Arabidopsis thaliana: one gene and its partners. The protein of the gene in region 3 interacts with the protein of the main gene of each other region in a biochemical or structural test. Each region holds a gene or a part of one and is shown on either strand. Other genes may lie near its edges.

The links.
Region 1: of the proteins of ARAC5 (region 3) and ROPGEF2, one has a biochemical effect on the other in vitro, tested with the Arabidopsis thaliana proteins (one study listed by BioGRID).
Region 2: the proteins of ARAC5 (region 3) and PIR121 form a complex in vitro, tested with the Arabidopsis thaliana proteins (one study listed by BioGRID).
Region 4: of the proteins of ARAC5 (region 3) and ROPGEF1, one has a biochemical effect on the other in vitro, tested with the Arabidopsis thaliana proteins (one study listed by BioGRID).

The regions. Positions count from the first base shown.
Region 1 is NC_003070.9:256,992-264,818, reverse strand, and holds ROPGEF2 (RHO guanyl-nucleotide exchange factor 2), read left to right. Parts: upstream 1-3,203; 5' UTR 3,204-3,344; coding exon 3,345-3,690; intron 3,691-3,781; coding exon 3,782-3,898; intron 3,899-3,994; coding exon 3,995-4,149; intron 4,150-4,215; coding exon of another isoform or gene 4,216-4,236; coding exon 4,237-4,701; coding exon of another isoform or gene 4,702-4,784; coding exon 4,785-5,129; coding exon of another isoform or gene 5,130-5,156; exon of another isoform or gene 5,157-5,204; coding exon 5,205-5,324; downstream 5,325-7,827. Other genes in the region: AT1G01710 (acyl-CoA thioesterase II), read right to left, coding at 1-22, 107-162, 237-299, 427-539, 659-746, 885-962, 1,049-1,174, 1,247-1,293 and 4 more. UniProt on the Arabidopsis thaliana protein: Guanine-nucleotide exchange factor (GEF) that acts as an activator of Rop (Rho of plants) GTPases by promoting the exchange of GDP for GTP.
Region 2 is NC_003076.8:6,099,817-6,107,958, reverse strand, and holds the start of PIR121 (transcription activator), read left to right. Parts: upstream 1-2,978; 5' UTR 2,979-3,093; intron 3,094-3,167; 5' UTR 3,168-3,175; coding exon 3,176-3,229; intron 3,230-3,542; coding exon 3,543-3,615; intron 3,616-3,698; coding exon 3,699-3,763; intron 3,764-3,903; coding exon 3,904-3,981; intron 3,982-4,318; coding exon 4,319-4,438; intron 4,439-4,524; coding exon 4,525-4,595; intron 4,596-4,690; coding exon 4,691-4,783; intron 4,784-4,967; coding exon 4,968-5,037; intron 5,038-5,126; coding exon 5,127-5,191; intron 5,192-5,336; coding exon 5,337-5,532; intron 5,533-5,641; coding exon 5,642-5,793; intron 5,794-5,897; coding exon 5,898-5,991; intron 5,992-6,080; coding exon 6,081-6,290; intron 6,291-6,360; coding exon 6,361-6,572; intron 6,573-6,674; coding exon 6,675-6,819; intron 6,820-6,905; coding exon 6,906-7,074; intron 7,075-7,171; coding exon 7,172-7,248; intron 7,249-7,345; coding exon 7,346-7,516; intron 7,517-7,627; and 5 more. Other genes in the region: AT5G18420 (CCR4-NOT transcription complex subunit), read left to right, coding at 1-54, 213-358, 535-685, 763-900, 1,312-1,383, 1,459-1,532, 1,618-1,759, 1,970-2,054 and 1 more. UniProt on the Arabidopsis thaliana protein: Involved in regulation of actin and microtubule organization. Part of a WAVE complex that activates the ARP2/3 complex. Interacts with the active form of RHO-family GTPases.
Region 3 is NC_003070.9:28,470,491-28,478,302, reverse strand, and holds ARAC5 (RAC-like GTP binding protein 5), read right to left. Parts: upstream 2,655-7,812; 5' UTR 2,340-2,654; coding exon 2,241-2,339; intron 1,873-2,240; coding exon 1,785-1,872; intron 1,698-1,784; coding exon 1,588-1,697; intron 1,476-1,587; coding exon 1,412-1,475; intron 1,330-1,411; coding exon 1,265-1,329; intron 1,187-1,264; coding exon 1,121-1,186; intron 1,025-1,120; coding exon 926-1,024; 3' UTR 501-925; downstream 1-500. Other genes in the region: VPS35B (VPS35 homolog B), read left to right, coding at 40-250; LCR67 (low-molecular-weight cysteine-rich 67), read right to left, coding at 5,549-5,727, 5,835-5,898. UniProt on the Arabidopsis thaliana protein: Involved in cell polarity control during the actin-dependent tip growth of root hairs, thus regulating root hair length and root hair initiation.
Region 4 is NC_003075.7:17,983,275-17,991,099, reverse strand, and holds ROPGEF1 (rho guanyl-nucleotide exchange factor 1), read right to left. Parts: upstream 4,717-7,825; 5' UTR 4,458-4,716; coding exon 4,190-4,457; intron 4,103-4,189; coding exon 3,986-4,102; intron 3,900-3,985; coding exon 3,379-3,899; intron 3,267-3,378; coding exon 2,913-3,266; intron 2,828-2,912; coding exon 2,441-2,827; 3' UTR 2,231-2,440; downstream 1-2,230. Other genes in the region: IYO (RPAP1-like, carboxy-terminal protein), read right to left, coding at 53-158, 262-440, 603-718, 783-1,623, 1,812-1,985; sks9 (SKU5 similar 9), read right to left, coding at 5,927-6,136, 6,216-6,294, 6,395-7,121, 7,212-7,317, 7,406-7,676. UniProt on the Arabidopsis thaliana protein: Guanine-nucleotide exchange factor (GEF) that acts as an activator of Rop (Rho of plants) GTPases by promoting the exchange of GDP for GTP. Acts downstream of PRK2 in the control of polarized pollen tube growth by activating ARAC11/ROP1.

The DNA of each region.
Region 1 (7,827 bases), about 28 Mb from region 3:
TGCAACTTTGTTCCGATAACTCCTGAAAGAAAGAAACAATTGGAAGATTGGTCCAACTTGAGCTTTTGATATAAGTTATCATACATTGGAAAACACTACCACTTACCTCGGTAAATGAGGATCAGTTATACGGCTTTCACGCAACTCCTCCAGTGATAGAAGCTGTAGCAGATAATGGTGAAAAATAAAACACACAACAATTTATTGGAACCCTTAAATCTGGAGAAATGATTTACCGTATCAGGATCTGGTACAGAGGGCATGGTTGACTCCTGGTGCTCAAATCCTTGTTGTTCTTTCTATGAAAGTAATAAAAGAGAAAATTTAAGAAAACAATTTTCCCAGTTTTGTGAAAGGCTATTCTCTCTTGGTGGCAGGTGGACGTAGAGATTCATAAGCTATCTTGTAAAGAATAAAATGGGAAACCTGAAATGATGCCAGCAAGATGAATATGATATTTCCTTTCTGTACTGCATCAACTCTTCGGGTGGCAAAGTTGTTCCCATCACGTATGCGGTGAACTTGATAAATAATGGGGACTGCAAGCAAGAGCAACAAACTATGATAATCAGATGAATCCAACAGCAGGGTGGGTTTCAATAGGGAAGAAAGGCATCATTGGTGGCTAGAAAGTGCCCCAGTGAGATTATGTACATACTGTCAATATCTCCAACGAGAAGAAAATAGGAGTGTAAACTGTGGACGACCTTGAGAAAATCAACAGTTTTTGACGCCGCAGCAAGAGCCTGTAAAATGTTGGTAAAAGTGACTTAGTAGTGGTTACGGTTATCACTGTTAACAAGCAATATATATATGCACATGAATCAGATCAGCAAGGTTTACAGAGACATAATAATGTAACCTTCCTAGAGAAAATGCGATACCTGTCCGACAAATTGTCCTCCAAAAACCTTTCCAAATATAGGAGCATCAGGTAGTGTGATCCCCCTGAAGATATTCAACTAGAAGAAAGAAGCACAGAGAAAAAGAGATTCAGTTGCCAGAAGCAGAAAGAAATGTGATAAAGAAGAACACCGTCCGTACGTACTTCTAAAGGGTCGAGTTGCAAAATGCGTTCCACTAAAGAGCATTTGTCAAGTGACGTATCCGATTGCCAGATGGAATTAGTCTCAAGCAAATGACAGTGATCACGCGGCAACACCAAACACGTAAGCTGCAATGACAAGTGAGGGAAGAAACTTGGACACGCTTGTCGTTGGAATATATATCAAAAGTCAGCAAATACCTGGGACATAGCAACAATGTCTGCTGAATGAACGTTCCCAGATAAACCTGTAGGAGGAAGAAAAAAGACAAGGAAGCTGAGCATATATCACCAAACCCAAGGTTGAACAGAAAGCATTCATCTCTCACCAACGCCGAAGTAATCATACTGTTTCAAGAGGAATTCGGAACGGTTATCTTCTTCGTCTGGTCCGGAAACCTGAGCCTGCAAACAAGAATCAAATTATAACAATGGCGAAGATAGATACATCGATATCTAGTCTCAGAAACAAACCTCTCCTTGCAAAATAAAATAACATCCATCCCAAGTTTGATCTTCACGAACCACATAATCCCCTTTCCCTTCAATAATACAATAGAGAACAACACAGCTCAATTTTTTTATATCGTGAAATCAGAGAGAAGAATAAATCCGAAATTGAGAATGGACCGACCGTAACGTTTCGGCACAACAACTTGAGCAATTTTCTTCAGAGAAGAGCTCGGTAATTTCTGGAGTAAAGGGACGTTTCCAAGGAACTCGACAACTACAAAAACAGAGCAGCAACAACATGGAATTCGCCGAAAATCTCACTACGTCATTCCTCAATCTCACGTTATAGGCTTACCTGACTCGGTGTTCATGGCGGATTCGGCTAGTCGGAAGAAATCGCCGGTTGGATGATGATGATTAGGTGTGAGAAAATGTGGTTTCCTCCCACCTGGCAAGGTAAATCAATTGTATCAACTACCAGCTCCGGTTTATGGAAGAATACGTGGACTCGGTTCGATTTTTATTTCTCTCACGTGTTATAAATAAAATAATAATAATTAGTATTAATAAATGAAGAAATATACAAATAATATTGGTGTGATGTAATTTAATTCTTGAGATGAAACAAAAAGCAATAAACAAATCCTACAACCTCAAGGCCCATTAATGGCTTTAAGGCCTTAAAATAAATCCGAACTAAGTAAATTTCTAAATGGCCCATGAGAAGAGACGATAATAACAGAATCTCAGTCAGCTGTTATTTTAATTCGTTTCTAGTCTAATGTTTCTATTTGAATCAGTATTTATTTTTCTTTTCGTTTAATTTGCTTGTTTAAAACCAATGGTTACTATATGCAAGTTATAGTAACCACTCCGGACGGGTTTTCGTCTTGTTCGATTATCACTCAGTGGTTAATTAAATTGTTACCAACTCCTGAAAGCTGTTATTTTTCGTTTCTAGTCTATGTTTCAATTTGAATCAGTATTAATTTTCTCCAAATCATGGATGCTTTCTCGATCGATTGGGTCTCACTGTCACGATGGATTTTCCTCCTACTTAATCTTAAAGCATATGTACATTTGGAAACAGATATTCTCTGTAGCTATGTGTTTCTCGCGTAACACGCTAGGTACCTTTGGGGTTTATGATTTCGTATCTTCAATTAGTTGTTTTAGTTGAAATGTTTGAAAAAACATTTCACAATCTCAACCGTAGGATGAGTCATCCTTCCCCATCGGACGGTCCACATTGTTCAAGTTTTTTCCGGGCACCGATAAATTGTGTAGAAAGCTTAATGCGGAAAAGAGAGTGTTTTATAAACGTTATAAAAGATTCAAGCGTTTCAAATTCAAAGACAAATTTGCAGAAGCTTTAAAGCCTTAAAGGTAAATAAAATAAAGACCGTTGCTTTTTTCTTCTTCCTTAATATCGTTTTTCAAAATTTCAAGTTTCAGACTTTCATGTATCTTGATCGACATAAGCGAAATGTTTGTTATAGTAATAAAATAAATCTTCGTGAAAGTTTCGATAAATAATGTTGTGATTACTTCATTTCTTTCTTTTCGTTTCTTTATGTTTTGTTTTGCTTTTTGATTTTGGCACGCCTAACGGTCTCTGCTTTTGGCCAAAAAAAAACAAAACAATTCTTCTACTTTACTGCTATCTGGTCCTCAAAATTTCACTATCCAAGAATCAAAAATAATTCCCGATTCTAATTGTCGGATTTAGATTCATATTCTAAAGTTTTCCTGATACATCACAACGAAAGTTCTAAGCTTTATTTCTTTTATTAAAACAAGAGATCAACAAAAGCAGAGGAATTTTCAAAAACAGAACATTGAGAAGATGGAGAATTTGCCAAATCACGAAGAAAACGACGATGTGGGCTATCATCAGTCACCTGGTCCCATCGATCCAAATGATCATTCAGCATCTGAAACTCCGGTTTACTCAACAATGAGCACAGATTCTTTTGCTTATCATCGAACATGTTCTGAAACCTCTGGAGGAGGCTTTTCAGACCAAATAGATGAAACCAGCAGTTTCTGCACTGAGGCTTCTCCTAGTGATTGGCCTGTCTTAACCGAATCCAACAACTCTGCGAGCTCAAATTTTCCAACTGTCTTCGACTTGAAACATAATCAGATTGAGACTGATGAGCACCTTGCGGTCCAAGAAATTTCAGAGCCAGGTTTTGTGTTTCTCCGTCTCTCTCTCTTTCTCTGTGTCTGTATTTCCTCTTTGTCATTATAATCATGAAACTGTTATCGGTTTCGTAGCAGAGCTGGAGACGATGAAGGAAAGATTCTCGAAGCTTCTGCTTGGGGAAGATATGTCAGGAAGCGGCAAAGGCGTTTGCACCGCAGTGACAATCTCAAACGCTATAACCAATCTTTATGGTAACTAAACACTAATACGCCTCACAGTTTTGTGACTTTCAAACTAAGCCATCTAGAGAAACTGTAGTTAATGTCTTTTGATTTTGAGATTTGCAGCTACTGTTTTTGGACAGAATCTAAGATTAGAACCATTGGAGATAGAGCAGAAGACGACGTGGAAGAGAGAAATGAATTGCCTTCTCTCTGTGTGTGACTATATTTTCGAGTTTATCCCAAAGTCACAGAATCTAAGCAATGGAGCCACTGTTGAGGTAAACAAGATTTGCTTATAGATATAAGTCCAAAAACTGAAATAAACATCAATAGTTTAAAAATAGCTGTTGCGGTTTTTTTGTCAGGTCATGGAGAGTAGACCAAGAGCAGATATCTACATCAATCTGCCTGCACTCAGAAAACTAGATTCCATGCTTATGGTAGTTACTACACCAGAACAAGAAGCTATCATCAATAAGATTGACTCGGTTAATATTCCTCATAAAAGTCATTCTCTTTGTTTTCTGCAGGAGGCATTGGATAGTTTTCAAAAGACAGAGTTTTGGTATGCAGAAGAAGGAAGCTTGTCGATGAAGTCAACGCGTTCCGCAACTGGATCATTCAGGAAAGTGATTGTGCAGAGGAAAGAAGAGAAATGGTGGTTACCGATTCCTCTGGTTCCATTACAAGGTTTATCAGAGAAGGCAAGGAAACAACTTAAGAGCAAGCGAGAGAGCACTAATCAAATCCATAAAGCTGCTATGGCCATCAATAGCAGCATACTCGGTGAAATGGATATTCCTGATTCTTACATGGCAACTCTTCCAAAGGTAACCACACTTAAGATGATTTTGAAGTTTTGGTTTTCTATTTTTGGTGTCATTTTCTTGCTTACAATATTATGCATTTGCAGAGCGGAAAAGCGAGCACAGGAGATGCAATCTATCGACACATGACGAGTTCAGGGCGGTTTTCACCAGAAAAACTTCTAGATCGTCTCAAGATTGTATCAGAACATGAAGCGCTTCAGCTGGCAGATAGAGTAGAAGCTTCAATGTACACATGGAGACGCAAAGCTTGTCTTAACAATTCCAAGTCTTCATGGAATATGGTGAAAGATTTAATGTCAATTACAGAGAGAAGTGACAAGAACTATGTTTTGGCTGAGAGAGCAGAGTCTTTGCTCTTCTGTTTGAAACAACGGTACCCAGAATTGTCTCAGACATCGTTAGATATTTGCAAGATTCATTGCAACAAGGTAATTAAGAAACAAACAGTGACCTGAATCATGTTTTATTGAATATTATAACAATTTATGGTTTGTGGTTTGCAGGATGTTGGAAAAGCTGTGTTAGAGAGTTATTCAAGAGTTCTTGAAGGTTTAGCTTTTAACATAGTTGCTTGGATTGATGATGTTCTTTATGTAGACAAAACAATGAGAGGAGAAGAATGATGAGTATAATTACTTTTAATTTCTTCTACCTAGTAAGATTCAAATTGAAGTAAAATCATATTAAGAATTGTTTTCCTTATGTAAGAAAGACGAACGCTGTATATAGATTATTAGATACCGGGAATAATATTAGTGGGGAGAATTTAACATTTAGTTATGTTTTAAAACAAGTGTTAAGAGTTAAATAAAAGTATATTTTTAAATATTTATTAATATACTAAAAACAAGTGCTAAAATTTTAAATTATGTGTAAACCCATATTAAACGTATAACATCTCTTAAGTCTTAAGTCAGCACCAAATATGAAATCAATCATAGCTTAATTAACTTTTCTTCAGAAGAAGAAGAAGAGACGATCTACAGAAGATAACTCTTAAGTCTTTTAGATTAAGTAGCAAACCTGATCGTTGATGAGGAGATCTTCGATAGAACTCTGAGTCATCTGAGAGAAACCACCACAACCACGCTGAGACGAAGAAGGTCCCTGAGAGAAGGGACTGCTGTGACTGTTGAGATCGAAGCTGCTGAGATGCTTGTGGATCTGCTAATCTCCTTTTAAAATAAGATTCGCGCAACACAGATACACAAATTCGATTCAGAAAACATAATCAGTAGCCAAAACGAGAGAAATTGCGCCCAATCAAACGCACTTCAGATTTCATTGTTTAAACATAAATTCGATAGAGAAAACATAATCAGTAGCCAAAACGAGAGAAATACTATATTTTCTTCTTAAATAATTTTATTGTCACGTGGGTCACCGACCTCACTACATAATAAGTATACACTTTTTACATGTAAAGTATGTAGTTTTTTTAGAAATACGGAGAATAAACACTTTTCTCTTTCAACTCTAATTTGTAAAGGGAATTTAATGAAAAAAACCCTCAACTTTGGCCAGATCCATTTTTAAATCCTGAACTATGTTTTTAGTTAAACAAACCCTGAACTAAAACCTGTTAATAAACTTAACCCCACAGTAATTAAATATTAATGAGATATTAATTTCCAAAAATCGACCAAAGAACAATGACAGAATCCGTGATCCAACTGAAGATCGTCCACCTCAAAAAGTTCCTTATACACGTGAAAAAGTTCAAATGGTAAAATAGAGAACAATGAATTATGTTTCACAAGATCTTCCTTTTCAAATTATTTAATTTAATCTTTGCATATTTAGACTTGCAGCAACTGTCAACAAGTCGGACACAACAAACGTTCATGCAAGCGTAAAGCAGTGCCAAAACCACCCAAGAAACCTCAAGGACGACCAAGGAAAAAACAGAAAACAATGGATGAAGAGAACCCTATCACTCAGCCAATACAATCTTCTCTTCAAAGTTAATGTTTGACAAGTCTTTACTTTAGAATATCTTGTCCCTCTGAAACGATTGTTTTTTTTTTTGTGACAAATATTGTTGTGTTGCAACAGCTTCGATAGTTATGTTGGTTGGATTTATTTAAGCATGACTCCTTGGATTATTTTAAGTTGTTGTATCTTTCTTTCAGCTTCTAAAATCCAAACTAATTAAGCAATTCAAAATCATTTAGAAGGTTTTTTTTGTAATAAATTCAAAACAGTTTTAAAGAACATCATGTGGTTTTTGCGCTAAATACAAATGTCTCGTTGTTTTTTTTTTGGAAATTAATATCCCATTAATATTTAATTACTATGGGGTTAAGTTTATTAACAGGTTTTAGTTCAGAATTTGTTTTACTAAAAACATAGTTTAGGGTTTAAAAATGGATCTGGCCAAAGTTGAGGGTTTTTTTCATTAAATTCCCATTTGTAAATAACTTTTATAACTTTCTCTTGTTTTGTTATGTAATCAAATAAAGACAAAACTTACATTTTCCTTTTTCTTATTTTCATTTATACATATTTAGTTTGTTTTGCTATAAAAATTTTCTTAAATAATTACCATAAAAACATATTAATGAGTTCAAGAGTTTAAAGTGTGGACTTTTCATTAAAGTCTCGGAGAACGCTGAGGCGAGCGACATGAAAGCGCCGGAAACGCCGAAGTCACTAACATTCAGTTTAAGCAGAGTGATGCAGTACGCGTGGAAAAAGAGAAGCGCTCCCGTAGCGAACAGGTCCGATTCACCGGAGTGCGTCTTCAGAAGATAAACTGCAACGGAACGAACCCCCCATAGAAACCATGCGGACATCGAATGGTGATGGAGCGCCGGCGGTGGTGGGTTCCTCGGGAAATCAGGAAGCATGGCGTAGGGATTGTCGTCGTCGGTTTCGTTCTTATCACGTCTGGCTGCACGTAGAAAAAAATACCCGAAGACAACGTTGGCAGCGATCAGATAAAGGCTGAAGTAGTAAGGATGTTCCGCAAAACGAAAAGAATGGCTGAGGCCTGAAAGAAATAGTGACACGTGTCCAAGAAAGAAAAAGAGGAAGTTTTCACAAAGGAGTACAGCCGGATTCCTTGTTTGGAAATCCTCTACCGTCGTCAAGAGGCTTTCATAACGTTCTTCAACCATGGTAAAG
Region 2 (8,142 bases), on a different chromosome or scaffold from region 3:
ATTCTCAAACTCTCAGCTGTTGATTATATCAGATCGTTTGATCCTTCAACTCATGTAAGAGCGGTTGATGCATAGATATCTTCTTTCCAATTATATCTCTTAAGATATTTTATCTTCATCGTAACTGTTCCTTTATTATGCCTAACATTACCTAGAGAACATTTAGAGAAACCTTTTCCAGTTATTGATCTAATATGGGGATGCTCTGTCAGGATTTTCCGGAACTAGGAGAGCTGCAACGAGAGTATGGCGACAAAGCCGATCCTGGACCATCTAGTCACATTTTTGCAGACTATTCCCTGAAAAAGCTATTGCATGATCCTGATGTTCCTCGTGGGTGTGATCCTAACTCTCCAGAGTACGTAACCTATGAGTCAGGGGATTCTGTTTCTTTCTAACTGTTATATACAGTTGAATCTGATCTATTTCTTTCAAGCTTCCAGTTTTCCTCCAAGCTTAATGTTCTGTGTTATAATTAATGTGCCAATTTGAAGTTGATTGTATGAATGATCATTGAGTCAAATAATCTTATAGGTTTGATGTGCAAGCTGGAGTGAATCCCAGAATTGGATCTGGTGATAGGGATGAGGCACTATCTGGATTCTTAGGAAATTTGACAATGGGGGGATTAGGTCCTAGGTGGATCCGTCCATGTCCACCAAGGTACCCAGTTCATCAGAGCGAGGTAAAAATAAGAATAACCCCTTATTCAACTGGTTCAGAAAATTATCGAACTGACCTAAATGGTTCAACTTCTTACAGTTGCTTTGGATTGACCCTGATAACAAGCATGAGCTTGTTTGGGACGATAAAATGTGTGCTGATACTAGCAGTGGTGCAACAGTTAGAGACTTGCTTGTTAAGGGTTTAAAGGTGACACTTTCACCTACGGAGCAAGAGGTATGTTATCGCTCGTTAATTCTTGATATGCGCATAAAATCATACAAGTATTGACCATTTTATTACCTATCTTACTCTAACACTTATAAGCAAGTTAACATAGCAATGGGACAGTAACTACATATGCACAAATTTTAAAGGTTGTAAAGGCAGCCATTGTATGGCAGTAGTTTTGAGAGAGAAGTCGTGCTCGTGCTATCACTCTAGTATTTCCTTTCTCATTGGATTTAAAGATCTAGGATATTAAGAAGGAATTGACTGCAGTAAGAGTTTATGGAAAATAACCGTGCAATAGATAAATAGTGATTGTGATGTTTTATTTCATCAGCCTTGCCCGTATAGCTGATGAATTTAGAAAACCTGGATCTTTTGAGTGATTGAAATAACTTGTTTTATTTATTTACTGGCCAGGACATCATTACAGAATTGGCAAATGACCCAAAGCTTGTCTTTCACTGCGGAATAACTCCACGGAAGCTGCCGGTATGTGATTCATTTTCTGGCAGGTGGTTTTTTTCTTTTTTCTTTTTTTCATGTGATCTAGTTTCTTATTCTCAGCAATTAGTAGAGCACAATCCTCAGATAGCAGTTGAAATTCTCACCAAGTTGAATAACTCCACAGAGATTAATGAGTAAGTCATCACCTTATTGGTTCCACCATTTACTTTCGACCAAAATTATAACTTTTAAAGTGGGAATCTAAGAATGCTTCTTCAGCTATTATGAAGCTCTAGGAAATATGGACATGAGCCTGCACTCAATGGAAGTTGTGAATAGGCTCACAACTGCAGTTGAACTTCCCAAGGACTTCATACGGATGTACATCACTAATTGCATATCGTCTTGTGAGAACGCTAAGGTATTAAAACAAAGCGTCCTTTTGATTTCCCGTTAGGTACTTAAAACAAAGCTTTCTATGAGTATCCATAACGCCATCCTATAATCTTGTGTGAAAAAACTTCTGCTTGTGCTTTGCATTATGTGCTTTGTGTATATGATTCTCGGATTTGTTGATTTCAATGTAGTTGTTTTGTTAACGGTATAGTGATATATTGTTTTCGATCTGTAGCAGCAAGACAAATACATGCAGAATAGGCTTGTACGGCTTGTTTGCGTCTTCTTGCAAAGCTTAATTCGTAACAAGATCATCAACGGTATGCATTCTCTGTTTCTGACTGATTGCTATCAAATTAGGCGTTTTGCTTTGCTAATAACACAGAAAGATCACTAGATACATTCACAGAGGAAGCTTTTATAGTCTATTAGTATGATGTACAATTGTGGGTGATATATGTTTTTTTTGGGTAAAAAATGTAACAGTGAAGGATCTATTCATAGAAGTTCAAGCTTTCTGCATTGAGTTTTCTCGGGTTCGAGAAGCAGCTGGTCTCTTCAGGCTTTTGAAACAATTGGATGAATAATTTACTCTTTCTTCTTCTTCTTCTTCTTCTAATCATCTTCGTCTCCATTTTATTGTATTCCCTATTTTTGTAGCTAAAGAAAGTACTTTATTTTGAATCCAAGACAGTTTTCGCTTTTTCTAGAGTTTCATTCTCAATTCATATGTTTTTACAACAAAAATTTCTGGTTAGACTTAGACGGCATGTCCTTTCCATTAGGCTACTAACACTTAACCGTGAACGGTTTACATGCTCACACCGATAGCACCAACACCTGCTGGTTCTTATCCGGATTGGTTTAAGGCTCCGGTTAAACCTTAAAAGTTGTTACTGATTCTACAAAGTAACTTATTTTATGTTCAGTAGTTGTTCACTGTAAAATTGTATTTATATCTATTTTGTTTTGTTACTGGTATTACTCTTATGTATTTTCCCAAAATAAGAAATGGTTGAGGATAAAGGAATCAGTAAATAATGATTTAGCTGTCATCAAGTTTGCTTCATAGTAAAGACACAAATGTAATGCTTCTTCTCAAAGCTTTAATCGGATTGAACAAATATGTACTAAAGAAAAATTCTGAAAGGTGAAAATACAAACGAGGACCCAAAAAGAAACATTTTTTTTTTGTTACAGAAAAACAAATAGAAAAAGAAAGCTTCCAACTTTGCGAAATATTTGGTTCGGACAGAGTAGTAGCGAATTTATCGATCTCTGTCCGTAAAGAATCAGAAGAAAGGCGAATCAATTGACTTGAAGTAGTAGCAGCTCTCCTCTCCTCTCCATTGTTGTTGGGTAAGAGCCTTAAAGTTGAAAGCTTTATCCTTTAGTCGCCCAATGTTGCTAATTGCTTCGTCTGATCTTTCCAGGTGACTCAATGGCGGTTCCTGTAGAGGAAGCAATCGCAGCTCTTTCCACATTCTCCTTAGAGGTAACTTCGATATTCTAGATTTTGGTAAAATTTAGAAATTGTGGGTCTTTGGATCCTTTTGACTACAAATTTTCTTTCCGGAGTTCATATTTCAAAATTTTCTTCTAGAAAGGATATGAAATTATTGTTTCTATTTCTTGTTAAATCCTTTTCGTGTAAAATTATCACATATATTGTTTAATCACCTGTGGATCTTTGCCTAAGTTAGCAGTAAAATAAGTTTCAACGAAATGTTGAAGATTTAAGTAGCTTCTTGAAAAATTTGAAGTCACTCTAGTACATTTTCTTGAAGCATTTTGAATTTTGGTTATAGGATGAGCAACCAGAAGTCCAAGGACCGGCTGTGATGGTTTCAGCTGAAAGAGCAGCAACCGATAGTCCCATCGGTATGCTTCATTGTTCTCTTGTCACTCTTTTACCATAAAATCCAAATAATCAAGATGTTTTTTTTTTTATTACTATTCTGTAGAATATAGTGACGTCGCTGCATACCGGTTGTCTCTATCAGAAGACACAAAAGCTCTTAACCAGCTGGTATATGGCTATTCTTCTTCATTTGCCTCATCTTAGAAAGACTGATTAAATTACGATTTGATATTTTTACGGTTATGTTGTGTTAATCGTGTTATATTTGAATACTTCAAGTAAGTTTTCAACCAATTGTATATATGCAGAATACACTTATACAAGAAGGAAAAGAGATGGCGTCAATTCTATACACATATAGAAGTTGTGTCAAAGCACTGCCTCAGGTCCTTGTGAAATCTATCACTACACTCCTTGTCTCCATTGCATATCTACCTTTAGACATTTTATCTGATAAAATGTAGCTTTGAGAATTATGCTATGCGTTAGTTCTTCATGGTATTCGAAATCTCGTAGCAACTGTACGAGACTCTTTTTTGAACTACAAAGTATAATGCAGTTATAATGCAAAAATAAAAGCAACAACAAAGTTCTCTGTATAAATAATAGCGAATGATAGAAATTACTGAAAATAATATCAAATACAGTACTTCTTGCTGGGTGTTGTTGTGTATATTTCTTCCATAACACACATAACTTTCTTTATTAATGATATACATGCAGCTTCCCGAATCTATGAAGCATAGTCAAGCGGATTTGTATCTAGAAACATATCAAGTTTTGGACTTAGAAATGAGCCGTTTACGCGAAATTCAAAGATGGCAATCGTCGGCTTCAGCTAAAGTGCGGTGTATATCCTTCCTCGTCCAACTCGTTTTATATAAATTCCTGTATCAGAAATAATGTGCGTATATTCTCTGTCTGTGCAGTTAGCTGCTGACATGCAGCGGTTTTCCAGACCTGAACGGCGGATCAATGGTCCCACAGTCACACATCTTTGGTGGGTTATAACTCTTATTTTGTGTTTTGTATTAGATCCTTGGATGATTAACTTTCCTCGTGTATATAGTTTAACTGTGATTTTACTTAATATAGGTCAATGCTAAAGTTGCTTGACGTCTTGGTTCAGCTGGATCATCTTAAAAATGCTAAAGCTAGCATTCCTAATGATTTCTCTTGGTATAAGAGGTGAAAGATATAATACTTTTATCTTTCCTATCTATATTTTCTGCAAATAGGACACTTGAATGTAGGTAGATCGATGTTTGTTACTAATCCTTTCAGCTACTAAAGCTCTATTTAAGAGTTGAATTAGTTTCCTAGAAGCTTTTTTTTTTAGTTTATGTTCTTAAGATAGTTTCACTCTTTTCAGAACATTCACTCAAGTCAGTGCGCAGTGGCAAGATACAGATACAATGAGAGAAGAGTTAGACGACTTGCAGGTGTTTGCATGGCTTGTTTATGCAATCATTTGATAATGCCTTCCCCTGTGGTTTGTCGTAAATGAAAATGTGAGTTCTTATGTATGCAGATCTTCCTGAGCACAAGATGGGCTATTTTACTCAACCTGCACGTTGAGATGTTCCGTGTAAACAAGTATCCTTTCTTCCAGACATTTATCACCATCGTGTGGCTGTTAAAGACATTATTATGGGTTTGTCTATCTGAGATATGCATGCTGCTCAAGTCCCTTGTGCCATTTGACTATATTGCAAGCTTTTGGATTCCTTAGTAAATTCAGTGTGGAAGATATTCTCCAAGTTCTCATAGTCTTCATCGTGGAGTCTCTGGAGTTGGATTTTGCACTACTTTTTCCTGAGCGGTATATTCTTCTCCGGGTTCTACCTGTTCTTGTTGTCTTAGCAACACCATCTGAGAAAGATACCGAGGCTTTATACAAGAGGGTAAAACTCAACAGATTGATAAACATTTTCAAGGTATTGAGATTCATGTTATACCTGTTTTCGCATTCACAACCAATATACCGCAAAGCCTTGTTTCCAAGTCGCTAATTGTCATATTTGTTGTGTGTTTTTCGGCTATCAGAATGATCCTGTCATTCCTGCGTTTCCAGATCTCCATCTTTCTCCTGCTGCAATTTTGAAAGAATTGTCGGTATACTTTCAAAAGTTTTCATCACAGACTCGCCTTCTGACTCTTCCAGCACCTCATGAGCTCCCTCCACGTGAAGCGCTAGAATATCCTTTAATATTTTCACTGTTACTTGCCTATTTTAACTATTATCTGGATTATTGTTAACCGTACACATGCTTTGAAAATTGCAAGCCTTAACATATTTTACATATCAGAGGCACTATTTGATAGTCAATCACATTGGAGCTCTCCGTGCTGAGCATGACGATTTCACAATCCGATTTGCTTCATCCATGAATCAGGTGCTCAAGCTATCTCTATCCCTGGAGCTCCAATTTTCTTGTTCTTATTTTGAGTCTCTAGGATGTTGTTCTCACTTGCTTTCATGCAGTTATTGCTGTTGAAGTCAAACGATGGAGCATATACTGAATGGTGCAGAGAGGTCAAAGGAAACATGTACGATATGGTTGTTGAAGGTTTCCAACTGTTAAGTAGATGGACAGCACGCATTTGGGAGCAATGTGCTTGGAAATTCTCTCGCCCATGTAGGGATGCAGGAGAGACTCCTGAAGCCTCCGGATCATATTCTGATTACGAGAAGGTAATACTTGTGAAATATTTTCGAAAAGTTTTATCTTTTATGGTAACAAGTTTTGGATTCTTTTAAATAGGTGGTGAGGTTCAATTATACTGCAGAAGAAAGGAAAGCCTTGGTAGAACTTGTTGGCTATATAAAGAGTGTAGGATCGATGCTGCAGCGCTGTGACACATTAGTTGCAGATGCTTTATGGGAGACAATACATGCCGAAGTTCAAGATTTTGTACAGAACACGTTAGCCACAATGTTGCGTACCACCTTCCGAAAGAAGAAAGATCTCTCAAGGTGAATTGGTTTTCCTTTATTTTCTTTCTGTTTCAAGTCCATGTTCTCTTAAACTTAAGCTTTGCATATTGTTAACTTATCATATGTATGGTTGCATTTCAGGATTCTTTCTGATATGCGGACACTTTCAGCTGACTGGATGGCAAATACCAGGCCCGAACATGAGATGCCATCTTCACAACATGGAAATGATGAAAGCAGAGGGAATTTCTTTTATCCGAGGCCTGTTGCCCCAACAGCAGCACAGGTTTGGGTCCATTTCAAGATGATTTTAAGTACAACAACAGATGGTAAGATCCAGTGCTTGAACTTCTTGCTTTTTTGTTGTTTCAGGTGCATTGCTTGCAGTTTTTGATATATGAGGTTGTCTCTGGTGGAAATCTGAGGAGGCCAGGGGGATTCTTTGGAAATAATGGCTCTGAGATTCCTGTTAATGACTTAAAGCAATTAGAAACTTTTTTTTACAAGCTCAGCTTTTTCTTGCACATATTGGACTACTCGGGTAACCCACATGCTTAAATGTCTTTTTGGTTGGTTTATTGAGCCATATCAATAGCTTTGTAAGCTGACTCCTCAACTTCAATTTACGATGGCTGCAGCAAGTATTGGAATATTGACTGATCTGGGGTTCCTGTGGTTTAGAGAATTTTACCTGGAGTCTTCACGTGTTATTCAGGTATGCGGAATTACAAAAAGGTTATAACTATATTTTGCCACTTTGTTTTCACTGCAGCCCTGACTTGTTCTTACAAATTATACGTTCATTACTGCAGTTCCCGATTGAGTGTTCACTACCATGGATGCTGATAGACTACATTCTGGAAGCCCAGAATTCAGGCCTTCTTGAGAGTGTTCTGCTACCTTTTGACATTTATAATGACTCAGCTCAACAAGCTCTGGTTGTTCTGAGGCAGAGATTCCTCTATGATGAAATTGAAGCTGAGGTAATTAGATTTCAATTCTGATCTCAACAGGTATAATCCTATAGGTCTTCTTGAATGAAAAGGTTCCTTGAACAATACTATCGTTTCTTGTCTCCTGTCTTCTTTCTGTAGGTGGACCATGGTTTTGATATATTTGTTTCAAGGCTCTCGGAGTCTATATTCACATATTACAAGAGTTGGTCAGCAAGGTACCTAATTACACGGTTTTTGATATATTTACCCCCTTCACTGTTAACTAATGAGGAACTAAACCCTTTTATCATCCATTGTCGAGTTCAACAGTGAGCTTCTTGATCCATCATTTCTCTTTGCCTTGGACAATGGTGAAAAGTTCTCCATCCAGCCTGTGAGGTTTACTGCGTTATTTAAGATGACAAAAGTAAAGGTGAATAATAATACTACTCTCCTGTTATAGAGAAAGTCACAATTAGTTGAATCTTTAGCTCCATTGTTATGACCTAACATAGGATTAGATTATGTTTCAAGCAGTGGTTCTAATTATGTGTGGCTTGGCATGTTTAAACAATCTTCTTACTGAGTTTTGGTGTGACATGCAGATACTTGGTAGAACAATTAATTTAAGAAGTTTGATCGCTCAAAGGATGAATAGAATCTTTAGAGAGAAT
Region 3 (7,812 bases):
GCATCTCAATACTAAAAATGTTTTTTTCATATACAACAGGTACATTTACTTCTTTGAGAAAGGGAATCCACATATCACTCCATCTGATATACAGAGCCTCATAGAATTGATCAACAATGAGATGCAAAGCGACAACGGTAACACGACAATCCACTCAGATCCCTTCTTTACAAGTACATTGCGTTACATTAAGTTCATAAAACAGAAAGGTGGTTTGATGGGTGAGAAATATGACCCTATCAAGCTGTGACTTAAATCCGAGACACAAGCCTCATCAAATCCCGAGAGGAATTCTCTGTATTTTCCAAAGAAATGTTGGAAACTCTGAAAAGGAAGTGTACACTACACATGTTTGTTTTCTTTTCGGTCTTATTACAAAATGGAGAAAACCTTTGTAATTGTTATTTTCTTTGTTCCTTATACTCACCTCACCTGTGTGTATAGAATCCTCGTTTCTGTAAACCATTCTTTGAAACTATGCCTCAATTCAACGATGTCTCTAATCTTATTGTATATAGAGATCTATCTCAAGATGTTCTTCGTTGTCTGAATCTAATTACATACCAATACAAGACCATAAGATCAACGGAAGCTTAAAAAAAGTCACTAAAAAATTAATTAAGATTTCTGTTAAAGAAAATACAAAATGGACCCCAACAGCAAAAACAAAGACAACATAGTATTAAGAGATTAGTCTACATAGCAAAAGTACAACAACAACAACAACACACCAAGAAAAGAACACATCCCCTTCTCTTACCCAGAATCCTCCTCTTGGCCTCAGTTCACTCATTAGATTCACCAGCAAAAAGAAGAGTAAAGACCGAAACAAGCCGGATTCAACAACTATACAATGTTGCAGGTGTTCGTTTTCCTTCAGCTTCTTTTGTTACCTAAACCTTTTTTCGTTTTAAGAGATGTTCGATCACAAGAACACGCAGCGGTTCTTGTTCTTTTTCTTCTTCTTCTGTTTCGGTGGCTGAAGCACCACTTTTATGGCTGCGTCAAAGACTGCTTTCACATTCTGCAAAACCCAACAATCAACATTTTCACTGTCTTACCAAATACAAAAATCCCAAACAAAAAGACATGTGAGATATTATTTATGTGTGTAGTATACCTGCTGAGTCTTTGAACTACATTCAATGTAGATTGGTGATCCTATCAGTTTCTTTAGTTCCTCTCCCTGCAGACAAACAACTAAAGATCAAGAACTCGCAAAGCAAAAAACACTATTGTTTTAAAGAATTGTGGAGTTATGTACCTGGTTTGTAGTAATAGGCACTGCACCAGGATGGTCTATGAAGAATTGCTTGTCATCTCGAAGATCTGCAAATTCCAAAACTTGAATTATTATTCATCTCTTTCTTATTATAAGGAAAGAGTTTTTAGACAAGAAGAGAGTCAATACCGAGTTTCGTTCCAACGAGGATTATAGGAACACCAGGGGCATAATGCCTAAGCTCAGGAATCCACTGAAATAAAGAAAAAAAAAAAAAAAAAAGCAAATGAAGGAACCAATTCAAAATCAGCTTAACGAAAGTTATTACTATCAAATGAAAGACGTTAGATCAACAAAAAGCTAACCTTCTTGGCTACATTCTCGTAGCTAGCTTTGCTAATAAGCGAGAATGCAAGAATGAAGACATCGGCACCACGGTAACTCAACGGTCTTAACCTGTTATAGTCTTCTTGACCTGCACAAACCCAAGAATTATCAGTCAAAATGAAACCACAAAAAAACAAGAAAACCAGATTTGATGAGTTTCAAAAGGATTATTTACCAGCTGTATCCCACAATCCAAGATTCACCGTGTTCCCATCTACAACCACATTAGCACTGAAGTTGTCGAAAACAGTTGGAACATAGTCCTGATATTCAGTAACCAAGTCATAGAGTTTGTTAAACTAAAACACACACAATAGTGGATCATCATTAACACACACAATAATGGAAAAGATTATAGATCCTCATATCTGCAAATTTGACTAATACATACAAATTGAACATGAAGTCCAAAATGAAAGAAGAACAATGCTCATAGGTAAAGATAAATAACAAAGAAGCTAAATCCATGGAAGCATCAATAAAAGTTCTGAAGAAACATGTCAAGAATTGATTTTTACAATTTTTACCAGCTAATCAATCACATTCAAGAACAAAGATGAATAATCTCCAAAAACCCATTTTCAAAGAATGCTTCAAGATCACTACTGAGAGCAAAAGGAAGAAACTTTACCGTAGGGAAAGTGTTGCTTGTGTAAGAAATCAGCATACAAGTTTTTCCGACGGCACCATCGCCGACGGTGACACACTTTATAAACCTCGAAGCACTCATCTCCGCAGCAAATTCACAAACTCAAAAAAAGAACCCTTTTGCACTTCTTCTTCCTCAAATCCCAGCCATTCCCAAGAATCAAGAAACAATCTTTTCTAACTCAAGAAAAAACCCTAATCCCGAATCGTAGTAGAACACGGGTAAATTCAAAAGTAGCAAGCCAAATCGATGAGAGATAATAATGGCAAAAGAATGAGGAAAATCTTTGCTTTTTCTTTAATTTGCAATGTGTTTTGGGCCGTTGATGATTCTGAGATGAGCTTTTCAATACCAACCTTATGCCAGCTATTTGCTACACCAAACAACACCTTATCATTTACACTCACCCCACTTTAGTATTTCTTTTAAATAATACTAATTTTGAGCACTTTTAATTTTGAATTTGAATACAAATTGAGAAATTATCCGTTGTAATGAGTTTTTTTTTTTCTTTTCCTTTTCTGTATAGTAGAAATATCTTTTTACATTATGAAATTACTATCTGTTTTATGAGATTAGCTAAACTACCACCAAAATAAAAACCTAATTCACTAATAAACATGGATTTTTTTTTTAATTTTCTTTTAACAAAAACTAATGTTTTCTAATTTGACCATAGTTGTTAACCTAATTGACAATTATAAAAAAAAAAGACAGCAAATAAATAAAGATTATAATTTTTAAGAAAAAAAACTAAGAGTAAAGCATAATAAACGACCAAACTATGGGGAGGGAGGGCATGAAATTGCCAAATATTAATCATTGGATTGGGACGACTCTCGTCAAGAACGTGCGACTTAGTGTTACGGCACCATTTCATTCCTTTTTCTCAAATCCCTTATCAAATTAATATGGTTTAATTTTGTCAAGAGTGTCTTTGTCTTTGTTTTTATAGTTGTAATTTTAAAGAGTTTTCTTCATCTTTACGACATAAGAATCGAAAAATCTTACACGAACGTGCTCAACTCTCTTTCAACCTACCAATGAGCATACGACACATCATGAATTGTCCCACATTAGATTTATCCAAATCATACGGTCGCATTATTACAGTTTGCTTCTAAAGGACCAAGGACACATCAAAATTTCACCAATTATATTTATATGAACTAATATTCAATCATACCAAACTAAAGAAGGGGTTAGAGTTAGCTCTACGCTTCTACCTACTCTCAACCAAAAACACCTTTACCCATTCATTCTGATTCTTACATGAAATGAATTTCAGGCTTTATGATTTTTTTTATAAGAAATTTGATAATGATTGATCATGAAATCTAGTGCTTCTATTTAAAGCGACTTATTTGAAAATGAATAAACTTTACATTAGTGATTCAAGTGACAATATGGAGTGCCATAAGGGCCATAACACAAAGGCACAAACACACTAACACAACTGGAAGCTAGAAAAGACAATAACACGAAGGCTCACACTTGAGGCCCAGTAGCGAATTAAGGCCCATTATGACAACTCTTGAAATATCATGATTAGTGACCATTTTTGCCACCAGGGCCCATGGGGTACTTGGTTTGGTGAGACTCCAAATGAATTGACTGCCTAGTGCATGCTTATCCACGAAACAAGAGTTTTTACTTGTTTATTTTGGAATGTAGTAATTCATCTGTCATAGAAGAAGAGTAAAATATGTTATGTTTTAAAACATTATCCAATTTTTTTTTATTTTTTTGTTGCGTAATTAGTATATAGATAAGATGTAGTAGACTAAAGTTTGTCGGTTTCTCAGTCATTCAACATTTGTTAAAGCTTTAAAGGCATAGTGCTAAAGTTTGACAAGTGGAAACAGTCTCCATAATAGATGGCGCACATAGTTAATTGTGTCTAACAATGGCTGCGGTCGACTGATGGCCCATAGTTTGACAAGTACAAACAGTCTCCATAACAGATTTGCCTCTGTCTTTAAGCAAATCGACAGGAGCACATTAATTAGAGACACTCTCCTGGCTCGAAGGTACCGCAAAGGCCGCGGTGACTGCTCTCTCAATGGTTTTCCCATGCCTAGCTCGTAATAGTTCTCTATTTGTAATCTTTGCGTTTATTAGTTTCTGAGGCTTTTTAAAAAACAAATTGTCTTAGAAGCTATTTGTCCCAAAGATTTTTGCAAGTAACAATGTTTCCATTTTGGTAATTAATCACATTTCAAAAAAAAAAAAAAACTCACATTTTATCAAAAAAAGAAGAAAAATTGTGTCTAACAAAAACATATGCATTGCTTAGTACTGAAAATTTAAAACATGGTTGAGACTTGAGACATTGGGCCCATATATGCAATATAGAGCCATACGGTAATACATTTATGAGAGATTTTTACGACTTTTCTGAATCAACCTCGAACTATAAATTATAAAACAGTCACATGTTATTCTAGTTAGACTTCAAGTAGTGAGAAATTCAGTAAAAAGAACAGTCAAACCCACAAATTTCTGTTACATTATTTAACAATGAAAACACACAAATATCTGTTGTAATAGAGTAATAAGTAAGCAAGCATACGTACAGTGTGATACACAGTACAAATCTAACATCAGATACTAGCTTGAGATAATTTAATATTAATATGGGTGCAGGAAATTTTTGCCACGCTGGTTCAAACTCCATAGAAGTAACAGTTTTGTTTATATTAACATAATTTACAAATCTTGGAATTGGGATATCTATAGATATTTTTTGAATAACCACATAACTAGCTGATCAGCATGAACATTCTAGATATCAGTCTTGTAAATTGACATAATTTTGGTGGAAACATACATTTGGTATTCTTCTCCGAAACCGCCTGTTTTTTACATTGTAGCCGAGCCTAAGTACAATAAATAAAAATTCAAAGATGTCAACACAAGACCTCGTTTTTTAAAGTTGAATTAGCTAGGTAAATCTCTTTGGTATATAATTAAGTCGGAGATTGTGTTATGTAGCTAGCTCTCTTTTATGTATAAGCTGAATACTCTTTATTATAAGCAGTTTTTATGAAATACTATAACATATTCCTCCGATTCTCTATTTTCAAATAATCGTTTGTGTTGTGTTGGAGTTTTGCAGACAAATATGGACAAGAAGAAACAGTAGTATACGTCGTACGTAAAAGTTTATCTTATTAAAACAAAGCAACATAACATATCTGGTACATGTCATAAGACCTCTCATAGAGTGACACATACTTATTTAATAGAAATACACACTTTATAATTAAGCATTAAGAGCTCTTGGTAGATTAACATGGGAAGTAGCAGATACATTTGTGAGCTGGGAAGACATAGTTGCAAGATCCATGTCGTGCTTTCTCAAGGTTAATGCACTGATTCTTGCACGCGTTACTGTTTCCGCAAACTCCGGACCATGTCCCACTTGGCCTCTCGCACAACTTCTGTGCTTCCACCACCATCGGTGCTTCTGCATATAGATATATCTCTCACAGTTAATTATCACAATAAAATGAAAGAAAAAAGGTTAAAACTCAATTTTCCATGCATATGGTATACGATAACATCATTACTCACCAAGAGCAGCAAAGAAAACAAGAGCAGCGAAGAAAAGAGTAACGATGGTAGCAGACTTAGCCATGACTATTGTTTATACTTAGTTGTTTTCGATGTATATATGTTTTAGTTTGAAGAAATCTGCTTGAAATCAACCACTATTTATAGTGAAAAAATGATGGGGAGGTCGACTTTTACGTGTGCATGGGACAATAAAGCGTTCAACCCTATAAATAAAAAAATACACACCGTCTGATAGTAGAGAATACTAACATGCAAGTATTCATCTAATGATAGAAGATAATATCTTGACCAATTCATAAAAAGTGTGCTGATCGTGATCGGTGGCGAGTTTTCAGGTGCTACGTTTGTTCATTTGCAATTTCATTGGACCGGTGGCTACTACATTAACTGTTAACATCTCTGGCTGGTTAATTTGACTTGGTCAAAATTTTAAATATGTTGAGCATATCCTAGTACGGTACTCAAGTGGTACTTTGTCTCGACCACATCGCATTTAATAATAAACCATGAAGTTGGGTAGTATTTTTTTATCGACTTTTATTATTTTTTACTGAAACCTCCAAGGAGCTACTTCACTAGCTGGCAAGTTGATAAATTAGGTTATTTCTTCACTTTCTTTGGTATTGATTATATAATCATCAAACTAATTAGGATCTAAACATGTAATTAAATATTAGCAACATAGTGGATTTGGACTAACAAATTTGTAAAATAGCGCATAGATTATATTTAATTTCGTAGTTCCCACCTCAACTCCCACACAAAACTTCTTGGATTCAACTCTGCCATTTTCGGACGACCGAGAAGATAAATCCGATTTAATTTTATTTATTTAACTTATTGTTTTAAGGTAAAAAAAAATTTTTAAGAAAAACTGAAAGAAAATTCGTTTTCGATTTCATAGCCGTCATCCGCAAACTTTGACAAAGACTTGTCTCCTCTTTAAACATTTTCTGTATCAACAGCCACGTACCTTCAAGCCCTTCTAAGACAGCACCAGCACTAGCCGTGCATGGACAAGACAAGTAACAAACTCAGAATAGTACACCACCCAAGTTAATTTGTTAGGTTATTATTAAGAATAGAAAGAGAAGTTAACATTGTTAGATATGAATTATATTTGGTTAGATTAAGAATGCTTAACTTAGGGAAGGCTGCTTCTCTGTTTAATGTAACTTAACTATTTAAGTGGCTGCTTTGGCTTTTGAGTCAAGTGTTACATTGCCTATAAGAAGTGGGCTTATTTTGAATACACACACAATTAAGGGATCAATTATGGGATTAGCATATTAAAGTCTGTGCTTTTGTAGATATAGGAACATCTCATGTTCCTTACAAATTTAGATACTTTTATATTATATGGATGACTGTTTTATCCTTCAATCTAATTGAGTTTCTTCTCCTTGTACCTTCAATCTAATTGAGGAGAATTCATCAATATCAATCGATCTCAGAAATGTGCGATTATTTCTCTCTCTTTCTCTTTCTCTAATGGCATGGAATCTATTGCCTCTAAACTCACCATTGATGTCCATTGCTTCTCCATCACCTTACAAAATTCAGATCTATGCCTGGCCAATCTTCTTCCTCGACGATGCAGGTGGTAATCCTCCATAGCTTTTTTGAATTTGAATTGTTTGATCTGAATTAATTTCATCCTCTCTTTCTTCAATTTCAAAGAGGGATAAGAAATAATTGAAAATTTTAATCGATTCCAATTATTTAAGATTAGTATATTTGGGTTCGTTATATAATATTTTCTTAGGGGTTAGCTTTCTTCCATCAAAAAGCTTTTAACTGATTTTATTGGGGTTTATCTGAATTGGATGGTGATGAAATGTTATTAACAGATTTTCTAATTTTTGTCTCTATCGATTTTGTTTCCGTAAATACATCTTTTGTGTATATATTGTCTTGTAGAAAGAAACATTGATTAAGTAGAGAAATAGGATAATCAATCTCTGTACTTAATACA
Region 4 (7,825 bases), on a different chromosome or scaffold from region 3:
TCACGTTCTATGAGGACTATAACTTCTTAGGAGTGAGAAAAATCAACTATACCTCCAGAATATTAAAGAAATTCTCGTTAAGAGAACAGCTCAGTAGACACTGAATCACTTTTACACATGCTATAACAACAGAGGCATGGTTGTCATCAAGAGCCATCCTAAAGAAGAAAAGAAACTTATATTGATAAGAACAAACAATTTATGATTTATGAGTGACAACTTCACAAATAAGTCTCAAAATTACACCCATCAGGAAATTACCTCAATGCTAAGACAAGCTCAGGTTCCGGTCCAAGGGCATAAGCCCAGATGGCTTCCCAGTCAGTGGATTTATCTTTTTCTTCCCTTGCGTAGCCTATTCTGCTTTGACAAAGTTTGTTCAAAGCTTTGTCGAGTACAGATGCAAGCAGATGCAAAGCAAGACATCTCTGCCCGGGAATCTGATATATATATCAATAATACATACAAATCAATGAGCAGTGATAACGAAAAAAACGCAGTCTCAGCCTACAGGTTTTGTTCAGCTAAAGCCAAAATGGAGGGAAAAAAGAATTTAACCATTAATTAGCATCAAAATTAAAATATGTGGCAATCATACATACCACACTTCGTGCAAGAGCAATAGCTTCTTTGATAGTGTAACCTGCGGCCCCAGGATCCCCCTCGGTTCTCAAGAAATCACGTTCGGCAGCAGATTCAACACCAGACCACTTTCCACCTGTACAGTCAAAGTGTAAGCAACCTAAGATTGTCATGTGTTTCAGTTGTATTGTTCTACTCACCAGTTTCAGCTGGCGAGACAACATCTTCCTCAACAACATTCCCGTCAAAAGAAAATCTCAAGTCTCTGGCTGCCTCAACCCTCTCAGTCCATGCATCCCACACGAATCCTTGGGCTATCCCTGGCTTTTGCACCACACTTTTTTCTTTCGGTATTGCCATCACTTTAGGAGTGACAAAATGACCCTCAGTTCTTGAATTCTTTGCTGTTTCATCGGTGATGGAAACCCCCTGCACAGAATGCTTTCGCTTCTTCAATTTTGCCTCACCTCGTTTCTTCAAAATGGAGAGTAGTGCAGGATCCATCTTGTCCAATAACTCAGCCTGAGCCTCAGCAATCTCGTCGGGTGACATTGTCTGCAACTTTGCATGGTTCTCAACATCAATATCACTTTCAAGAGACGAAGACGCGTGTCGAGTCCCAAGTCCATTCGAAACAGCTAGGGGAGGAGAAGCGTTTAAAGGAACCCTTTCCTTGGTTCCCAAATTTTTAATAAACGGTGCTTTATCAGAAACAAACTCTCTCTGGTCTGATGCCCTGGCAGCCAGTAAAGTGTTGCTGGATGTAGTGGCCGCATCGGCTGAAGCAACATAGGGCGGTCTCGTTTCAATGATCTTAAGTTTCCTTGATTGCTGAGGGACATGTGTGGATGCAGGATCATCCCCAGAGACCATATCTTTCCACCTCCCGAGGTCCATGTCTTTCTTCTCTTTTCTTTGAAGCGGTTTAGCAAAAGCAGCAATGGAGTCTGCATTCATGAAACGTTCTTCTGCTTCTTCTTCTTCCTGATCGTCATTGTAATCCTTAGGTTGTGCTATGCTGCTTCCCACAGGAGCCAAATGCTACAAAATCAAACATGAGAAACAAAAATTAGATGTCTCAGAAAGCTGAATTACAAGGTCAGGCACGGTGAAAAATTGTGGAGTCCCAAGTACTAAACAACAGTAGAAGGTGCTTAAAATCTAGAAGAAGGCAACAAAAGGAAGATGGAAACCTAAAAAGCACGCACTAGAGGATTGGATTGGCTTACGGGTCCGTGAGAACGATGACGAGCGACGGGGAAGGAAAGAAGGGAGGGCCTTGGGGGAAGCGGCTTGCTTGGAGGCTTATTCTCCGATATTCCTTTCTCCACGATGCTCCCGACAAGGCTCGCCAAGACGTTGTTCGGCTGTTCCGGATTGACTCTCCCGCTACTTTGCTCCATCACTCTAAACCCTCTCTCGCCTCCGCTCAGCAAAACGGAAAACTCTTTAAAACTCCGTGTCGTCCCGATAGCTTATAAGAACAAGTAAAAAATAACAAGAAAACCCCTTTCTGACTTTTTAATTATAAAATTGGAACATCAACTTTAATCCTGTGCAAAACAAACCATATAGTCATAGTCTATATTTGAACCAAAAGTTGTCGCTTTAGTGCAATGAAGAACATGATTAAATCACTCAAGAGACGGGTATGTGATGTTCATTCAGTTTTAGGACTTGGACCATAATCTTTGTAAACTTGGTAAATGAGCTAAGGAATTGATTTGTTAACAACATTTCAAAACTCCACATAAGATAACATTCTTGTTGCTATTACCACATTCGTCTTCGTAGTCAGACAAACAAGAAACAACTACAGTCTCTACAACCATTGATTTACATTCTTCTATTTTCAATCTTAATCTCTTTCCGGCGTCACTCCCGTTACTCTTCTTGAACTCAGATTCCCTGCATACGACCATGCTTTCTCTGTTTCTCCCACTATTCCCTTCTCTCTCGTCCCATTCCTCTTCACTGAATACAGCGGCGGTGCTCTCCTCGGGCTTCTTGATGCTACACTTAGGGCAGGCGTTGCAAATGGTGAACCGTGCGGAGAGCTCTGCACAGAGAACGCTTTTTGAGGGTTGAGTCCATTGATGCTGAATAGGGATAGCGATTCTGTGACAGAGATGGATCTTCTCATGGCATCATCAACATAAAGCACATCATCTATTCTGGCCGTGATGTTGAAGGCCATGCTCTCCATCACCCTAGAGTAACTCTCCAGAATTGATTGCCCTACATCCTGCAAGAACACACACAAACTCTTAAATTATCTAAGCATCGTTTCATGATGCAACCAGCAAAGCACACTCCAAACTATAATGTACCTTGTTGTACTGAATCTTGTTCATGTCCAGCGTTGTCTGGGGAAGTCCCGGGAAACGGATCCTGAGACTCTGCAAGAGGGTCTCGGCTCTCTGCACAAGGAAATCATTTCTTTCGTTGTCATTAACAAGGCCTTTAACCTTGCCACCCCAAGAAGACAGCTTTAGTTTCGCCTGCTTCTTGTGCCTCCTCCCATTCTTTTGTCTCCAAACATGCACAGCCGCCTCAATCCGGTTGGCGATTTCAAGAGTCTGATGTTCCGATGAGAGATCAAGACAGTCCAGGAGGCATTCGGGAGAGAACTTGTTTGCAGTTAAGTACTGGTAGATGATCTCTCCAAGACATTCCTTCCCGCTCTGCATTAAGTTTAAAATCATAACTCAATGAGCTAATCACATATAACGGTAAAAGAATTTATGCTCCAGCAGCAATGAAAAAGCTAATCCTTGAGCTCGAGAAGGCGCATACCTTGGGCAAAGTCTCCAAGTAAGGGTCGGGAATCTCCATTTCGGCAAGCACGCCACTGTTAATTGCCAATGCAGCCTTGAGAATCTGGTTAGCAAAGTCCCGACACTGCTGCAGTTTCTTCCTGGCCTCTTCTGACAAACCGTTAGGCGGAACCTTAGGGCAAGGCAGCCACCACTTGTCCTCCTGCCTAACGGAAGCTGGAGAATTGTAAGAATCCTTGTCACAATCACCAAGAACTATGCCGCGATCAGTGTACCAGAACTCAGTATCGGAGAAAGCGTCAAGCATATCGATCAACATAGCATCGAGCTTCTTGAGAGCAGGGAGATTGGCATAGAGATCAGAACGTGGACGGGTCTCCATGATCTCATAAGTTCCGCCTCCAGGGAACTGCTGAATGGAAGGAATGAGCTCAACGATAGAATCGCTAACACAGAGCAGCCACTCAAGTTCTCTGCGCCACATGGCCTTCTTCTGAGGAGCAAGAGGCTCAAGCCTCCATAGTTCGCCAAACACAGTCGCTGTGTGGACACTAGCCTTATTAAAAAACTAGAAACCCCTACTATATATACCAACTAACAAAAAGGGAAGAAGATTGAGATGGTACCAGAGAGATTGGTGATGGCGTTGGAGATAGCAAGCGCCGTACAAACCCCTTTACCTCCACCAGACATGTCTTCCCCGAGAAGTAGCTTAGCAAATCTCTCCTTCATCATCTCAATTTCTGAAACCCAATAGGAAACAAAAGGGAAATTGAATCCTAGTGTTCATCAATGTTTACAAAAGAGGTCAAATTTGGAAACTTTTATACCGGATAAATCGTTGTCTGGTTGTTTGTCATCCCAGACCACATCTTTGCCGCCGATCACCGGAAGCATGACTGGGGCCGGGAAGTAAAATCCTCTACCAGCGACAACTCGAGGGGAAGAAGGGATGGAGCTAGAGGCACCCTCGCCGTCGAAGCGGTGGCAGGAGAAGCTGCTGGAACTCTCGGACTCGCTAATGTCGGCGCTGGGACTGTAACTTCCGCATCTCTCGGAAGAGACTTCGTCGTCTTCCTCAGAAGATAAGCTCCCCATTATTGAAGCGGCAGAGATCTAATAACGGCTCAAAGAGTCCACATTTGGGTTAAGAGACAGACAGAGAAAGGAAGAAGAAGGAAGTGGATGTGATGATGATGCTTGTTTGATAAAAAGCAAAGCTCAGAGAGAAAGAGAGAGAGAGATGAGAGATAACAAATAAAAAAGACTCCTTTCATTTCCTCACTCACACTCTCTCTCTTCTTTTCTCTCCCATCCATCCATACTCACGGCGTTATCCTCTGCCGTTAGGGACAGGTATGAGGTTGGTAACAGATAAACCGTTAACTCACGGTCGTCACATTTTTTAACGGCGAGATTAAATTATATCCCACGGCCGTTCTCATAAGAGGAGCATGCGCTTGTGTTATATCAACCGTTGGATATTAAAAGTGAACCATCAGGATCTTTTCTACAGAGCAGAATTGAGAATCTCGAAGCGACCGAGAAAATAAAGAAAGGCTGACATTGTGTGGACTAGAAGTATTCCTTGTCGGATCATCAGACTCTCTCGTACCACACCGGCCTGAACTACGTTGCACCATATCTATCCTCGTGATTTTACGCCACGTGTATTACGCCCATTCGCCTGATCTACACTGTCCATAGTATTCTGGCGTCATTAAAGTATTCACATCGTACGGTCTAGATTGCGTTTGGCTTACTTATTTCGTGGATTCCGCTGTTTTCGGTTATGGTTTTTTCACGCAACGAATCTAAGCCGTTGATTATATTACTCTTCTTAATTCAATTCATTAAAGTACCTATTTAATGCCCTTTGAATTCGGGTTAATATAGTAATCTACAATATTAATGTCACTGATCACTAGAATATGCTATGGATTGGTGTTGATTCACATGCATGGCTTAATTAGTTGACTCTCTGCTCTTTTTTTTTCTTCTCTAAAAGGCTTTTAACCTTCCAAATAAACGTTTGTTTGTCTTGGCATTATTAGCAAATCTTTTCCATTGCCATGTTTTTCATTCGATTGACAGCCTTGTAATTTGTAATTGCAAGGTCAACAAAAACTTTGACCAAATAGAACAACTTTCTATACCAATAAACATTCTACATCTACCGGTGGATAATAATTTAAATTTTTATTTCATCGTTAAAGTCTGTTTATTCGAAATTAATGTTTCTAATATGTTATGTATGGTTTTTTTTTTTTTTTAATTTACTCTCTCTCTTCAAACTATACTATTTTGCTTGGTGATATGGTAGAGTTACTTGGTTGATTCATATGAAAACATTGCATTTGCCTACAAAAATTAACTTCAAACTTAGCAATAACCGTTACAAAACAGTAAAATTTTCATCAAATTTGGGTATACATTACAATTTTTGAAGTATATATAATAATTGTGCAACATATATCTAGCTATTGAAATTATAAAGAATAAAGAACTCAATATAATAAAATACATATCCCTAAATCAGCCATTGACGATTGGTCTGAGTAGAGTCATTAAGGAGTGGTGTGTTTATTGGAGGCTCGGCCACACAACAAAGCATTCTTAGGCAAAAGATATTCATCTCTAAGAGAGTGTGTTGGAGAATAAACTCGAAGGTAGAATTGTTGACCCAAGTATTGCCTCGCCCAATATTCACTCCTTAGATTCCACATCCCCACATTGTCCAGTGCCACATATACGGCTGTCCAAGATTCTGGATATACCTACAACAACCAAATACTAGTTTTGAGATGATTTTTTAAAATTTTTGGTAAGATATATGGAGTTAGAAACTATTTGTACCTGAGTGGTGGAGCGAGAAATAGCATCCCTAAGATTATACTCTCGTCTGCTTGCTTTTGACCATGTTCCTCTATCCGTCCTGTGGACAGTACTCACAAACATCAGATGCATGCAATGCATTATTACTAGCTACTATATATAGAGGACGATAGATATAGCTAATCTTTAATTATTCTCACCCAACAACCCAAAAACTATATCCATCGAGGTGGTAGCTTTGGACGATCTTCTCGCGGTTTTGAAATATGATTTCAAGGAAGTCTCTATGGTGTGCTCCCATCACTGACGTCTCCATTCTCATCCCTCTTCCTCTTCTCGGCTTGTCAGGTATGCTTCCCATTTTGAAAACGCCTTTGATCTTGAAGTAATCCGCAAGCTTTAGCGGAGTATCTCCAGGTACAAACGACACTCCGTTTATGGCGTAGCGTTGCTTCCTCTTCACTAGTGCCGCTGAGCTTTCCAATATCAAAGTCCTAGAAATCTTGATTCGACCATAGTGGTACGAACCCTGAGGGTTAGGCCTTGGCCCAGACGCGGTTAGATTGGTCCTAATGGACCGGGCTTGTTTGATAGACCAATCTAGTTCATCGGCAGGTTGTTGAACATGGACTGAATTAGCAGAAGATGAGTGGCTATGTCTTGAGTTGGAGTAGTGGATAGTAGATGAGACCAAGAGTTTTTTGGCGACAAATTTTGTGGAGACGACAATGTCATAGTCTTGGTCAGGCTGGTCCATGGTGACCAAGACCGAGTAAGACTGTCCAACGTGAATGTCGAGAGAGGTATACATGGACTGGACTGTGTGTGTTCCCTCTACCTCAACGAGCTTCATCTGATGACCTTGGATTCTGAAATTCAGAGTGTGTTGAAGCCCTACATTCGATATCCTAAATCTGTATGTTTTACCTGATAATTGTTCCACAACAAAAAATAAATGATGAGATAATATAATGCTTTTCTTCGTAATCAAAGTATTTGAGTGTTTTTAGGATGAACCTTTGTGGACGGTGATGGAAGACATGTAACTGACTCCTTGGCCATTGATCAAAACCCCTTGAGGCAAAGGTAGCTTGTGTCCTCTATCCAAAATTGCCTTCAAAACCTGAATAATGTTACATTTAATTATGGTCCTTGTATAACAATGACAAATACTAAAACGAACATAATTTGTTAATTCAAGAAAGAAATACCTTGTGGTCATGCTTAAACCAATCACCAATGAGGAAGGTGAAATCTCCAGCGGGTTCAGGGAAAGGGACGGGGATGCGAGGGCGGCTGAGGATACGGAAACCGCCAAAACCACCGGCAGCTTTGTGAACGGCGAGGGAAGGGAAATAGAAGAAACTACCGATCTGGTCTTTGACTTGGATGGCATAAGTGTAGTTTTTACCCGGTGGGATTGGACAAGTCGTCCCATACACTCCATCTTGGTAAGAATTCTTCCTCAGTTGCACTCCGTTCCTTCATTAGTATTTACCATTTTGTATTATATTAATTCATTGATATTATATTAACATGAAAACTTGACGTCTCGCCACCAATATAATCTCTAACAAGAATGTGAAGAAACAACACTAGTGCATGCAAATTGGCTCCATCATGCCATTTAC